Diceros bicornis minor: one gene and its partner. The protein of the gene in region 1 interacts with the protein of each later gene in a pairwise test. Links are inferred from orthologs where the notes say so. Each region holds a gene or a part of one and is shown in the gene's direction. Other genes may lie near its edges.

Region 1 (8,191 bases):
GTCTTGCCCCCGAACTCATGCCCCTGATTATATTCTTTCTGAATATGCTTAGGATGCTGTCACTCCTGCCTGAACTGTATGGGCTGCACCTAAAGAACCTAGATCGTGCCTTCTTGATTTTTTCTGTCAAAGTACCTGTAAAGAACAAATGTGAACAGAAGTAGTATATAGGATTTCATTTTGTGCAAAAATCCTCATATGGGTCACAGGCAGGTAATGTTAATGGGGTAGGTATCTAAAAGGCATTGCGATGTGGTCCAGCATTCTTTTACGTTTACTGCCATTCCTACTGCCCGTACAACCTTACACCTGATTGTTTTTACTCCTTCAAATGTTTTCACTCCTTCAAATGTTTTCCTGTTGTGTCCTGTAAACTTCCAGATTAAGCTTCCCTGATCACTTTGCAGATGATTCTTCTATTTAAAGATCTTCAGTGTTGCTGAATGGCTTCTAGACTAATTTGAGTAATTTTCAGAATGGCTCATTTCAATTCTTCCTAGGCTCTTCATTTGTTTCATTCAACTTAATCACTGTATTCCAAAAGAAAAGAAAAGAAACTGAAAGAAACTTCAAAAGAAAAAGAAGCTAATCAATTTGAGCTTTGCAAACAAGAAAATGGCCCCAAATTTGATGCCCTCTTTCTCCTGTCTGTGGACTGAGTGCAGAATATTGAAATTTATGGGCATTCTTTTAGAATGAAAATGGCTTATATCTAGGATAACCCTATAATTTTTCATTCAACCTGTAATGATTTTGAGAGTGAAAGGTATTAATAATTTCATAAGGATAACAGGTATAAACCATGACTGTCCTAGGCAAAAGAAGTAGTCTGTCATCTGAATAGAATATGATGCAGCAGTGGCAGCCATCATGTGCCACCAGGCCTCAGGTTTCATTGTGTCCTTTCCTTCTCCATTATTCCACCCCCACCTTTCCCTCAGCATTGGAGGATGGAAGAAAAGGAGCTTACTTTTGTCTTATTTCCTTTTCTAATCTTAAAGAGCAGTAAAAGTGAAGCTAATGGAGCTTTTTGTTGTTACAATGCAAAGCAGATTTATTTGCGCACACAACAATGAGGATTAGGATACTAGATAAAAAGGAAAGCGGTCTTCTGTCAAATGGAGAAGATCAGGAATCTTAAGCAGCTGGCTTTGGGACCACTGCGATGGGAAGACTTGCTGTGTTGCTTTCAGAAGTTAAGTCTCTTTACCTGATGCTTCAGCAGGCTTTTCAAACAGGCCTTCCCGCTAGGCCAGCTCTTCTAAGTCCTTTGACAGCCAAGACGATATTCCAGATCGTCTATGTTCTGTTTATTTAGGAACTCTCCCATAAAGTCTGAGAGATCAGTTTCACTATTCTCAGAAGCCAAGATCTTGAGGTCTTGCAGGACCTTGCTTACGTGTTCTCCTACTGCAGAGAGGACTTCAGAGCTTGTGTGCCATTTCCCCAGTTATCTATATCAGGCCTCTTAATCACCAGAAGGCAGATGCTACCCTCACGTTTTCTCTTTCAAAAGGAGAAAATCAGCAATATTCTATATAAGAAAATTCCCACATATAGGCTAATAGCCTTTTTTTCTTCCCAGCCTCCATGGTTATATAAACAGAAGTTGAAGAAACCTCCTGTGCAAGTGTGTTCAGGGGTCTAGGGTAAAGTAGAGTCACTGAACCAATTCACTGAACATACCATGAGTAATTTGCATCTGAGAGCAGAATTTCCTTTAAAATTCAGTACTCAATGGGATTGCAGCCTATGCTACAATAACAGTAATACTTTTGGGGAAAAAAGTAAATGAGAAGATAGAAGTCTAGTTTAGAGGAGGATGAAGTTTATTTTAAATAGAATTTACAAGAAATCAAACTGGGAATGTGATATGGGATTAGAGTTATTGACGGGGACTAAAGAAATTTATTTGAAAGTCTTTATTTAGAGGTAATAAACCAAAACTCTAGTTAGTGAGGGAATGTAGTGAATTAGCATAGACTACCCCTAAATCCCAAAGTCTTAACAAAAGTTTGTTTCTTATTCATATTACATGTCTAATCAGGGTTGGCAGTGCTCAGAAGAGTCACACAAGGGATCCTGGCTGCGGATGGTGCCATCTCAACACATGCTTCCATAGAGATAGGAGCCGGGGAAAGGGAACATGGCAAATCACACATAGAAACGAAAAAGAAACAGAAAACCGAGGTTAAAAAATTTTTTTGAATGTGCTATAGAACTCATAAATTTAGCTGCCATGCATGGCTAATAATGAATTTTCAAAGTGATCTTTAGGTTTATATTAGCAACTAGTTTTTGGAGTGTGCTTAAATGTAATTTATGGTGGATTAGCTTCTTTCTGTATATGACTCTGTAAATGAAAAGCATTGCAGAGATTCTTTTTTGGAATTTCTCATGATCTTTCTTTTTTTTTTTTCAGGTGAACCTTTTAGGCATTTCTAAAGATAAACATTACTATTTTATGATAATATTTCATTTTACTCTCTTTTCTCTATAACAGGAGAGTTGATTCTATTTCTCAGGGTAAAACAGGTCCACAATTCCCTATCTAAATTCCAAACTCCAAAAATGTTTGCAAAGGGAAGTTTTTTCATAACTCATTTGGAAGCAAAATCTGACCTGAATTGACATAAGGCTACTTGTGGTCTTTATCCCACTTAATGTGAATATGGATATATTTTGCCACAGAAGTATTAATGTGTTTGATTCTGGACAACTTCTCCAGATCCACTGAAGGTGTTACAGAATATATAGTATATGCCCATATTACCTTTCAAAAATCTGAAAAATTCTGAATTTCAAACACATCTGTCCCTTAAGGTTTCAGAAAAGAGACTATGGTTCTGTATTTCCAGTCTCTTAACGATCTCACAGAGGTATTGTAAAACAAATTTAATCCATATAGATAATTCCAAAGCATAATTTTCAAGTCTTTGGTTTTCTACATTATTCTTCTAATTTTTTTCTAATTCATTCATTTATATCAAAATACATTTTAGCCTGAGGTAACAATGGGAAATATTTTGAAATGCTTGATTTCATAAAGCCACTAGGTGGCATCTTTGTAAAAATAAAAGCACATTAAAAGAAATGTTTATTATATAAATAAATGCTGAGATAAATAAAGGTAGATGTTTCATGAGAAATAAAGATAAGTCATTTTGGTCAATAAATCCTGAGAAAATGCATAAGTTTATCATGAAAAGTAAAATGGAAAATGATATTTTAAAATTACTTTTTTACTTTCAGAACTGAGAGTCTTTTTCCTATTGGTTGTTTTCAGCTTGCATTTACATTGATTTTGTAGAACGAAACAACTATATATTTGTGTGTGTAAACGTATGCATATGTGATTTGGATGTGTTAATAACCTTTCCAACCTGCATAGACTACCTGGGAAGCCTACCAATTAAGTTAGGCTCATATTGTAAGACTAAGTTGTACAAGATCATCTCCATAGCAAACTATAAATAAAATGTGAACATATAGTGGGTATCAAGTCACATTTAATGCTGGGAAGTACTTGAAGTTCTCTACCACTGGGTTTCTTCCCTCCATCTCCTGCCTCTATGCCTAAATCTAGTTTTTTTACAGTCCCTACTACGGATGACAGTGAATGATAAATTTTAAAGAGGAAACCCAGAAAAGTAAGTGTTTAAAACCAATGGAATTCTCATTACTAGTAAAATTTAAGATACATTATGATTTTGGAGATGGGAGTGGGGGAGTGTTTGGAAGAACTTGTCTGTAAACCTCCAATCACACCTGGCTCACCCGTGAAAGACTAACCCTAGTGGTTATCTGTATTCCCTTTTTCCCCCTTTTCTCTGTTCTCCATGAATATATGGATTCATGAAGTCATTTAAATGCATTTGCTTTTTAAAAAAACCATTATTAAAGCCAATTTTATCTGAGAACATTAAAAATTTTACATTGTTCTAGTAAGAAATGTCTTTTAAAATGGAATGAAAACTGAAAAAATGACATTGGACATTAGGAAGTTATTGGGGAGATGAGAATGCAATTTCAGGGGAAAGGTATAAAGGAGTGAAGACATTGAACGTTATGAAGGAGGAATGGACCCGTATTATACATAACAAAAATTTTAATTTTATTACTTAATCTTACATCCTTTTTAAATATCAAAGGGTGTTAAATTAAACACAGTAGCATAGAATGGTGGTTTAAAATCGAGGGCCTGGAGTCAGACTGCTTGGGTTTAATCCTGGCTACCCCACTAAACGAGAGTTTCCTCATTTGTAAAATGGGGCTAATCACAGTTCTTCCTTAATAAGATCACTGTAAGGATTAAATTAGAAATATAAGTTAAGTGCTTAGTAACAAATAATAATAAATGTTAGCTATTATTATGAAGCCACAAAAAGTGTGCTACTACATTTACAATAGGAACATAATTGATTCTTTCCCCTAATAATATGTGCGTCTTTAAAAATCTTCTCAGTTTAAAGAATTTATAGTGATATAAAAATATCTTTATAATTCAGTGATTAACAAAAGCTTTGCTTCTCGTGATTTAAAGAGGAGTTATTTAACAGCTCCTGTCTGCCTTTTCTCTTTGGCTGCCAGGAAGCTAAGAGCCAAGTTCTAAATTTAGCAAAAGCAAGTAGGCACCTACTGTTGTACAACTGGGTTCTCCTTTGTCAAGGTCTTAACTCTTACTTCGTATTCACATTTTCTCTAATCCTGACTTTTTATAGCTACAAGCGCAAACTGCTATCAGTGTTTGGTTTGGAGAACCGTACCCTGTTACGAATGTAAAAGGGATCTTGGTAAGTGGTTAGCTACCGATTCACTTGCCAATCGAGGTAAGAGGCAGGTACTACCTTCTCCGCCACCTCTCCCCGCCCTCCTCTGCCTCATTTCTTCGCCCCGCCCTCCTCTGTCTCCTTTCTTCTCCCCGCCCTCGCCCCCCGGCTCCGCCCCTCCCCTCCGCCGTGCTCCTTTTCAGCGCGGGCCCCGCCCCTTCTCGCGGCCGCTGTGCCGGGTTGGGAGGAGGTGGCGTCAGGGCCGTTGCTAGGATACGGCCGGCAACAGAGAATCCGGCGAGTGGGACGCTGCTTCCTAAGAGCCGGAGAAACCGCTTCGACCCGAGTAGCTGCGTTTCTTAGTCAGGTAGGAGGACAGGTTCTGGCTGCCCTCTCCTGGCCCGAGGCTTAGACCGGCCTTGAGCCAGTGACTGCGGCGCTAGACTCCGAGGACTCCGTGCGGGGCGCTGATCCCCTGGGCTCTGGGGACTGCTTGACCGCTCGAGAGTGTTCCACCTTTACTTTAAAAAAACCGTGCAAAGCATCCCATCTTTCTTGGTTCCTTTTCTGTCTCCTTTTCTCTGATTTGGGATTCAGAAGCCACAGCATCAAGCTAGGAGGTGTACCTGGAGGACCGCTCACTCCGAATGCTTATCACAGTAATAGTGCAGAAGCAAGACCATCTGTGTGTGTAACCCAGATCTGGCATTAGAAAACCTTTAGCCATCCATGGTGAGCATTTTCAGTCTTGAGTAAACAGAGGGCTTTCCGACCTTCTTCACTGGCATTCTCACTCCTCTCCACCCACGGTCTTCGCTGTGCCTCTTAAAAAACTTAGCAGGTCTATTTGGTAGAAGGCAAAACTGGATCCCCGTCTTACTACTTACACTAGATATCTAGAACATTCTAGATATAGCAATGAAATTATGCATGGTAGGTGAAAGGGGGACTTTTTTTGTATGCAATCATAATAGAGACTTTTTTCTTTTTAAACAATTTTTTTAAGATTAAAACATTTAAGTTTGGATAGACAATACATAAAAAGAAAAAGTTACCGGGGCCGGCCCGGTGGCGCAAGCGGTTAAGTGCGCGCGCTCCGCTGCGGCGGCCCGGGGTTTGCTGGTTCGGATCCCGGGCGCGCACCGACGCACTGCTTGGTAGGCCATGCTGTGGCGGCGTCCCATATAAAGTGGAGGAAGATGGGCACCGATGTTAGCCCAGGGCCGTCTTCCTCAGCAAAAAAAAGAGGAGGATTGGCGGATGTTAGCTCAGGGCTGATCTCCTCACAAAAAAAAAAAAAAAAAAAAAAGAAAAAGTTACCTTCTAGAGGTATTCTATGCGTGTACAAATACGTAGTTGTACCTGTAACATTGCACATACTGGTCTGTGCTTTTGTTGGAGGAGGTCATCCAGAGGACGTGACTGCTGGTTCACCCATGAACTGGGTGGGGCAGTGGGAGGCTCCTTACCCCCTCCCTTGTCCTGGGAATGTGGGTACCTTCTACCCACTGTTCCTGTACTAGGATGGGCTTCAAGGACTGAGCCTTGAGAGAGTAATGTGTTATTGAGACCATCTGAACTGTATATGTGGCTGAACCCAGTTAAGGCCTCTGTATAAACTCAAGATTCTGGTGGGTGGGTGCAGAGATCTATTGTCTCGCAGCTGTGGAAGACAAGCCTCATAGTAAGTCCCCTTGCTTAGTAAACCTGCCACCTACGAGTCTAGAGTGGTTTGCCTCTTTCTTCAGACTCTCCTTGCCCTCCATGTACAGGGTGCAGTTTCAGATTTCACCCAAGGAACTCTAAAGGTTGTGAACCAACAACTTTGCTTTTTCACTTAATTGAATCATGCCTTTAGAATTGGCTTCTTCACTTAGCATAATTGATTTGAGATTCATCTATGTTGTTATGTGTATCAATAGTTTATTCCTTTCTATTGGTGAGTAGTATTCCATTTTATAAATGTAAAAATAGTATGTGTATCTGATGCTGGCCCTGATATCTGTTCCCCTACGTTAAACCCGGCATATATGGGGTTAAAACCCAAAACACCCATCCCCTTCCCTGCTTCTCTAGTTACATTCATATGTAAATATTGGTTTCTTTAAGCTTTGTATCCACCCCACCCCACCCCACACACACTACCACAGTAAGTAGAAGTTACAAATTGTTAAAAGCCCAGGTGGCCTCACTCTGGGCTCACACTGAAGTTTTGGCTAATTATGGGTTCTTGAGGTTTGTTACAGGGAAACTGATATCCAGAGTATATCAAGAAGCTGAAGCTTCCCAGACCCCAGGTGGTCAGCTTCCGGGTGCCAGAATCCATCACCCATCATGGAGGCAGACAACCAAGGACACCCACCTCTGGATTCCCTTATCTTGCCATCCTCCCCACTGCAAGCAGCCTCACAAGGCCAAATGTAGGCTGGAGGGAGAGTACCAACCAGCAAGGCCACAGGCTCCTGCTCCCTACAAGCTGCTGCATTCCTCACAACCTTTAAAAACCCTTGTGTCCCAACTTTCGAGGAGATGAATTTGAGGGCTGACTCTGGCTGACTCTGGCCTCCCTGCTGATGTCACCCAAAATAAACCCCTTTCCTTGCCGTAAGCCTGGCGTTCCAGGTTTTGTTTGGCTCTCTTGTGTGGCTGGTAAAAAAAACCTGTGTTTGCGTTCAGTAACATATCCATTCCTCAACTAAGAAACATTTGTGTTGTTTCCAGTCTTGAGTGATTAAGAACAAAGCCTTTATAAGCCTCTGTGTACAGGTTTTCTGTGAATGTAGTTTTTCATGCCACTTGGGTAAAGGACACAGATTGCTGGGTCATATGATAATGTATGACCCATTTTATGTAAACATACATAAAATAATGTATGTTTAATTTTATAAGAAAACAATTATCCCAATGTTGTACCAATTTTCATTTCCACTATCAGGGTATAAGAGCTCCACTTGTCTTCACGCTCACCAGCACTTGGTATTGTTGGCCTAAAAAAAATATTTTAACTATTCTTATAGGTGTGTAGCGGACTCTCGTTGTGATTTGAAGTTGCGTTCTCTAATGACTAATGATATTGAGCGTCGTTTCATGTGCTTGTTCTCAGGGCCGGGACTAGAGTGAGGCAATTGAGGCAAGCAGGTCCAGAATTTCAGGAGGCATTTCTTCTCAGGTGCAAGTCCAAGTGTAGAGCAGTACGGGGGCTGCCTTTGCCTCCACCTAGTCCTGGCACTGCTTATTTGCCTTCTGTTTATATTCTTTGGTGACATGTCTGTTTAAATCCTTTACTCATTTTTTTTCTTATTATTGAGTTTTGAGAGTTTCCTGTATATTCTGGATACAATCTTTTATCAGATATGAGTTTTGCAAAAAAGTTATCTCCCAGTCTATGGTTTGTCTTTTTATTCTTCTAGTTGTGTTTTTTG
Region 2 (7,646 bases), on another chromosome or scaffold:
GTAACAGATTGTCCAGAGGTTTGTATGGATTCCCTATAGAGATGGGAAGGGACACAAAGCAGCCATTTTACCAGTCTCAGGCTTTCTCACAGAGCCGTACAATCAGGGTTTAAGTTTATGCTTCACAAGCCTTCTCTGTTCATGGCCGTGGTTATTGCCACTTTTCTCCATTACTGAGGAGCAACAGGCACCCAGAATGAAGAATATGCATCCTACCTAAAATGAGAAGGAGGAACTTCCAGCTTTTTGTGCTATAGATAGGAGCTTCACCAGTCCCAGAAATGAAACAGGCACTGGAATCTCCCATGCAGGTCTTAGGGATGCTGTGAGAGAAATGGTCACAAGAGTGGCAATCTGTTTGGTTTGTTTATTCCTTTAAAACATTGCCAGTTAGGTATCAGAGATTCTATGCTATGCAGGAAATAATATATACAATTTCTGAGTAAATATAGTAATTACAATTTTATTTCTGAAGGCAAGAATTAAAACAACTAAGTAAGAATAAGGTGGATAGTGGTTAAATAAACCATGATATATAAATGGTAAGCAGTCATTTAAAATGTTTAGTTAGACATATAGTAATATAGACATATGTCTAAGTGATAGTATATGAAACAACATAGAAAAATGCAATAACATATGGAAAATGCTTCTGAGTACATTTTAAATAAAAAACAGGACAAAATTTAGTTTAGACTCAGAGCTTTCTCCAACTCAGAGTGATGCAGAGCCTTGCTGATCCTGCCTGCTTCTTACAACAGCCAATGAGAAGCCTGTACTTAGGTGGTGGGATTGTGATGTCATCAACAATCCAGCCAATCTCCCTGATGATTATTTGCATAGTTTATGCCTAATCCAACGGAGCCCAATTTCCTTTAAGGAGAGCCCTGAGTGGAAGTGGAAATCTCCAAAAGAAAGAGAAGAAAATTACATTAACAAAGGAATGTTTGTAATGACGTTGGTATCAAAATACAGCGATAAAAATTATTATATCCAATCTCTCTAGAGAGTACTTTACCTTCTAAGTAAAGCGCTCTACTTAGTATATTAAATCTTAAAATAACTCTCTGACAACTACCTACCCATTTGATGTTTAAAATGTTTTTTTAAAGAATTCCTACTGAATAGGAAGCAGAATTTTCTTGGATAATCTACAAGCCTTGTGCTATTGGCAAAAAAGCCTTTCATTTCTCAGACTTAATTACTTTTACAAAAAGAAAAAAAACCCTACTCTATGCTTACCTGTTGCTCTTGGCACATTATCCTTTATAATTAAAGCTTCATCAGTTTATAAAGCTAAATGAACTGGCTGTTGACAAGGAAACAGGATTCCATAACCCTGTTCTTTAATCTCCTTGTTTATACACTTACTGGTGTAGCAAATTTGAATCTACCAGGAGCACCCCCGTTCATTAGCCTAACTGGGATTTCCTTTCACAAAGAACATTAAGCTTAGAGGGATAGTTCTGCCTTTCTCATGTGGTAGACAGGGGGCTTGGCCAACTTTGTGAATTACTTTTGTTTTATTCAGGTTTACTGAGCACACACTATGTGTTAAGTGTTTTCACATGCGTTATCTAGATTAATCCCTACAATAACCCCATGTGAGGATAGATATTATTAGCCCCTATTCATAGATGAGAAAAACCAAGGGTGAGAGAAGGTAAGTGATATGGTTGCCCAAGAACACACAGGGAGTGACAGAACCAGATTCTTACGTGGATTTTCTAACACAAACACCACTGTTCTTCCCTCTAGACCATGTTATTTACATGTAATTAACTAGTTGTGCCAAAGCAGAATGGAAAATGCTACTCCTACATCCAAAATATAATCTCTTGCCTTGTAAATCTGCAAATTTTTCTTATCTTGAACATCAAAACATGTATGCCTATATTTTCCCAAAGAAGCCTAGAACAACAGAATGAGCCAGTCCTTTAAACAAAATTTCAATCAGTCAAAATACTTCCAAGTTCTATTTATCTTAGGCACTCAAGAAGTTACTATGGCTAATGAAAATTTTCCATCAGCTTCAAACTGGCAGTTGTAGGTCACACAGGTCTCTACACAGACTTTCCACCCAAACTTCTTTGGCAGTAGCGTATTTGTTCTACAATATGACACTCAGAGAAAGTCAGAAATGGCTGAGACACATTTGAACTCCCAAGGATACAACCATGGGAGTGGAGTGTGCAACCCTTTTGAAACTGGGTGACCTCTCTGATGATAGCTATGGCCCCCACTCTATGCCAGGCAAGGTCCAAGTGCTTACAAAAATTACCCCAAACTCCCTAAGGTAGGTATTGTCAGTATCCCCACTTTCAAATGAGGACCTGGGGCATAAAGAGGTTAGATAATTTGCCCCCAGTCCCATGGTCAGTGGAGAGCAGAGCCAGGATCTGTCCCCAAGCAGTCTGGCCACAGAGTCTGAGCTCCTAACCACTATGCTACACTGCCTCTCCAAAACAGAATGTAAGGTATTAGCTGATTTCATGAAACACATCAGAGACTTTTTTGTTGACCTGCATTACACCCTGCTAAATATGGCCATAAGTGGGAAATTTGGCCATCATGTTATGTGTATATGATAATATAAAAAACTTAAGACCAACTTCAACCTAGTATAGAAATGAGGCATAATTCAAAATGATAATGGTCTCTGCTTCCTTAAAGCTTCACACCATCTCCCTCCGCTTTTCTTCAGCTTAGAGTCAGGTGATGAACACGTATCTACATGTGCTCACCACTTGCTGGCCACTGCTTTCCGCCCAAGACTTGCCCAGGGTCTGTCAGGCCCATGCACTTCTCTGGGGCAAGTCAGGCAGGGATCAGTAGATCCTCTGCCTGACATCTTGTGCCATGGAATGTGCCCCTACTGGTTCTGTCTAGTCCTGCCACGGTTTTCACTGGCATTCTGCCTTTCCCTCCCCATTGAAAATGCTAAAGGCTTGTAGCTTTGTGTTTCCACATTGTGCCTGATACTGTGTAGTGGATGTAAGAGGTGGTTTTACATTCCCAGCCCATCGTAAATTCCTATCTTCTAAAAATGGAGCTGCCTAGTTTAGAAAACTGCTTGACTGAAATAAATTCCTAACAACTTAGACTCTTCTAGGATACACATTAAAATGAGTGGTTGGGATGGGAAGAAGACAGAACAGAGTCAGGAAACTCAGACTAGTAGGACTGAACTGAAGCTACAATGGCATGATGAGTGTAAAAGAGATTGGTAAACTGTAAAATCCTTTAGAGATCATCACTGTGACTCACAGACTGAGTGGCCCCTTCACTACAGTCTAGGGCAATGGTTCTCAAATATTAGCTTGCATCAGAATTACCTGGAAGGCCTATTAAAACAGATTTCTGGCCCCACTGTTTCTGATTCAGTAGGTCTGGCTGGTGTCCAATAATTTGCATTTCTGTCACGTTTCCAGGTGACGCTGAAGCTGCTGGTCCCAGGACTATATTTTGAGAATCACTGGTCCAGGCTGCGGGATGGGCAAAACCATCGTATCCACAGTAAGCACACAGCAGGCACTCAAATGGGGTTATTATTACTAGGCTCCATATCTTGGTAACCCCCAATATTTGCTCTCTTCTGCCTCCAGATTACTCCGCTCAGTTTGGCTGAGATTTATGGGAAAAAGAGATTGCATTCCTTTCCTTCTCTTCCATGTGTTTCAACCTCCTGCCATTAATACCCCTTCTTATTTAAAAGCTGCTTCACAGTTTGCAAGGAACTCGCACACACATTACTGTGTTCCAATATGAAATACGTTATCATTTCTGAGCATAAAGCTAACACTCAACGTGAGATAATTACTTAAAGCGAGGGAAGGGGCGATGAGGCAGAACACCCCGTTTCCTTTGGCTCTGAATGTAGGCTTAGGTTTGTGTTTCAGACCAGGTATGCTAGAGGGGATCAGTGTCTTCCTCATTGAAGGGATATGAAACATAACGTGAAGTTAGGGCAAAAAAGCAGTGATGACGAGCATCCCGTACTGCGCCCTCTCCCAGCCAAATACAACGGGTGGGTGGGGGAAATCCCGAGGGAGTCTCTCCTGGGAGGATCCCTCACGCATGTGCTAGGGCCGCATCTCCGGTGGCCCGCCGCCCCCACTTCTACTCCGCAGTCCGCTCTCTGCAACGGCAAAACGCACCAGCAACATCAAAGCCCTCCAGACCTCTCCTGGGGTATTGCACAGTGCAACCAACCCTAAAAACGTGGCCGCGCGACGCCCCCTCAGCCCTCTGGGCTTCCCATTGGCCCGTTGCAGTTGTCACTCTCTCCTTGCCTCGCCTTCCCCCTGGCGGGCGGAGGCACCGGGCGGGGTAGGTTGCGCGCTCGCCGCTGGCTCGGGCCGCGGCCGCGGCTTTGCAGCAGGCGGCGCGGCGGTAGGGGAGCAGGGCGCGCGCGGGGGGGAGGGCGCGCGCGGGGGGGAGGGCGCGGGGCGCGCTGCGGGCTCCGCGGCCAGCCCATGAGGGGCGGAGGCCAGCGGCAGGGCCGGGGGCCGCAGCCGGCGCCGAGGGCGGCCGAAAAGGACCTGCCCAGCCGGCTGCCCCATGCCCTGCCTCTCTCAGCAGCCCGGCCAGCCGGGATGGATGCTCTCTGCCGCCCAGCTCCCCTTCGCCCTGCGCATGCCCTGGAGCAGAAAGTTTGGGGGCCGGGGGCTGTTTTCCTCCTCGCGCTCCAATGACTGCCCAAGGACTCCTGCTGCCCAGTCTCTACTGTGACCTGCCTCGGCTCCCCAGGTGGTAACGAACTCTTCTAAGCTGTAACCAAGGCTCCCCCTCCTCGCCCCTCCCTCACCCTCCTTTAAAAATATTTATTTTTTAATTCAAGAAATTGTGATCCGCCGACTCCTCGATCATAATTTAGATCCCGGGCCTCGTTTCTGAGTGTAAGAGGGGGTGCGGTCTAGCTCAAGACGGCGCGCTGGAAGGACAGATTCCCCTTGCCGACCCACATACACCATGAAGAGGTGCAAATCGGACGAGCTGCAGCAACAGCAGGGCGAGGAGGATGGAGCTGGGCTGGAAGATGTCGCTTGCCACCTGCCGGGCGCAGACCTCCGGCCTGGGGAGGCCGCGGGTGCTAACTCCGCTGGCGGGCCAACTTCAGATGTGGGCGCTGCCGCGGCGCCCAACCCAGGTCCTCGAAGCAAGCCTCCTGATTTAAAGGTGAGCGCAGACCTTCCCCTGCCAAGCCCAGTCGGCGACTTAGCTTTCCCCGCCCCACGCAGAAGTGCTTTAACAGGATAAAAGTGATGGGGAAGCCAGGCAAAGGTCAGAGAGGATGACGGATGTTGGGCAAGAAGCCTGGGCTGGACGTCAGGTACCATTTGTGCCTCTGTCTTTCAGCTCCATTTCAGGCCTCTGTGTTTGTTCTTCATTATTCAGCAGACGTTCTAGTGACTCACCCATTCGACATTGTTTGAATAATGTGTGTGAAGTGCTATTCGCAGACAAAGGGCTGGAGAAACCCAAGATGCTAACTGAAAAGTTGACATCACTTTCCCTCCTGTAAGATGGCAGGGTAAGAAAAGTGCTGCCTGCGAGGCCAAGCAGAGGACCATTAGTTTCCTTTGCCGAATAGTTGCCTCCTTTTGAGACCTTCCTGGATGAAGCTCAGTTTGTCCATCTGTGAAAGGGGACTGTGGATTTCTTGCCGTTAGGTGGAGCCAGAGGTTAAGCTAGTGCTTGGAGATCGAGGCCTGCCTGCTCAACCAACCCCCCAGGGTGGAGAACTGACAGGTGGCCAAGCCGTGCTTGGCCTGGTTTGGGGCCTCGGTCAAGTTGCACACAGGCTGAGGCAGCAGTTAGAACCAGAATCTGAAAGAGCCAATCATGTGCGGCTGGGAGTCCTTTATTTTCCGGCCTGAGGTTGCTGAGACTATCGTTGAGCTGTATTGACTGTATCTCTCTATTAATTAAAACAGCACCAACATAAATAATGCACCTTTGCTGGAGCTGCCACAGGGACTGCAGGCTCGGGCTTCTCAAGCCGGCTCGCCACGGGGCTGAGCGAGATGTCAGCCCAAGGAAGGAACTTAGATGCCTTGGAGATTGATGCCTTGGGGAGATTTTCTCCGGAGAGGGTGCAAGTTCTGGGCTAGGGGAGCGAGAGGACTCCGTTAAAAAAAGCCTGTATCCTATGGCAGCAGCCACTAAGGAGCTAACCCGAATAAGCCAATGACATTCCTCGTTTGGCCTGAGCAGCTCAGAGTCAGGAAGTCAGAGCGCAGGTGAGTGTGCTCTTACCTGTGTGTGTTACCTGTCTGTGTTCCTTGGGGAGGGTGACGGGGGATAGCTAGCTCCTTGGGTGTACTTTTCAAAATTGAATCTGACTTCTGGTTCTGCTGCTGCCCCTTTCAGAGGTTTGGGGCTAGCCTGGGTCTAAAGATGAGTTTCGTGGGGTAGCTCTGCTTAGGAAGCTTGCACTTGAGTCAGGCATAGGGAGTCGTTGGTGCCCAGCTGTTGCCTCTGAGCCCGCCCTGTGTGGTCAGGAGGTGTGGTTCCTGTTTTAAATGAGATGGTCAAGAGAAAGGGGTGCTCTTAATGCTGACGTGGGGAGGGGACCAGCCTTTTGCTGCAGACTTCGGCTGCATTCTGAGCTGATCCAGATGAGTCTGGCCAGCAAACCCTGATTCCTTGACCAGGTGGGATCCTCACTCTGAGTCCGTGAGAAGCAGCCTTGGAAACCCCCCCACTCTCCAGCTCAGGCTGGCACTGGGAACTGTCGATTCCATTTGTTTCCCCCGTCTGTCTTCATGAGGGAAGGTAGGCTGGTTGTGGTGTGGTGTGGGGACTCTGGTGTCTTTGTCTCTGAAGACAAAGCTGCTTTGAGAAACTCGTTCATCTCCACCTTCTGATATCATCTCTCTCTCTCTCTTTTTTTTTCTTTTTGGTGACACCCTCATTCTGGTTGGGGTAGATATAACAACAAACAGGGCCTTTTCCTGTTTATCTCTGTCCACTTTATCACATTTTTACAGAGTAGGGACTTCAGAACCAGGTGTGAACTTGGGGGCTATTGCAATTTGATTTGCTGTGTGATCTCAGGCAAATCACTCAATTTTTCTGAGCCTTTTTCTGGGGAATATTGAAGTGTGTCCAAACTTGTCTTCCAATGCTGGAAAAGTTGTTTTCTGGTGATGGAAAAATTCCATCATTGGCTCTGAAACTGTGTAGAAGCTGACTTGTTTTAGATTTGTTGGTGGTACCAGAAACGGGCAAGTGTAATTTTTACCCCTTAACACCCTGTAACCCCACCCCTGTATTTGTCTTAGGGAGACCAGCAGTTCTGGCTTGCTTTTGTTTTCATTTTAAACTTTGGAGATAGGAACTTTTGGTTCCTTAGTCCCACTTCTATTTTCTTGTGCCAGCTCCAGACATTATGATGGATTAAGTGCGCTGGAGGAAATCATCCTGAGAAAAGAGCGAGAAAATAAGAGGTTTGTCTGAAGCACCTCCATGGAGGTTGAGGGCGAGGGGAGGAGAGAATTTTAGTCTTTGCCAAAGAGATCTGAATGATGCCCTAACTGGTGACAGCCAGATGTTTCAGGGGCTCCTGTGGTCTCTCTCCCTGTTCCTTCAGCATTGTGGAGCATCCTACTCGGCACTGTAAATTTCTGCCGTGGGGCTCAGGG

What was found.
Region 2: the proteins of IQUB (region 1) and TMCC2 interact in a two-hybrid assay, tested with the Homo sapiens proteins (2 studies listed by BioGRID and IntAct). The two-hybrid records come from large-scale screens. The link is inferred for Diceros bicornis minor from reciprocal best matches to the Homo sapiens genes IQUB and TMCC2.

The regions. Positions count from the first base shown.
Region 1 is NC_080742.1:73,359,653-73,367,843, reverse strand, and holds the start of IQUB (IQ and ubiquitin-like domain-containing protein), read left to right. Parts: upstream 1-5,044; 5' UTR 5,045-5,136; intron 5,137-8,191. UniProt on the Homo sapiens protein: Adapter protein that anchors the radial spoke 1 (RS1) complex to the A microtubule of outer doublet microtubules in axonemes. The triple radial spokes (RS1, RS2 and RS3) are required to modulate beating of the sperm flagellum.
Region 2 is NC_080743.1:100,626,796-100,634,441, reverse strand, and holds the start of TMCC2 (transmembrane and coiled-coil domains protein 2), read left to right. Parts: upstream 1-4,506; 5' UTR 4,507-4,971; coding exon 4,972-5,178; intron 5,179-5,936; exon of another isoform or gene 5,937-6,242; intron 6,243-7,646.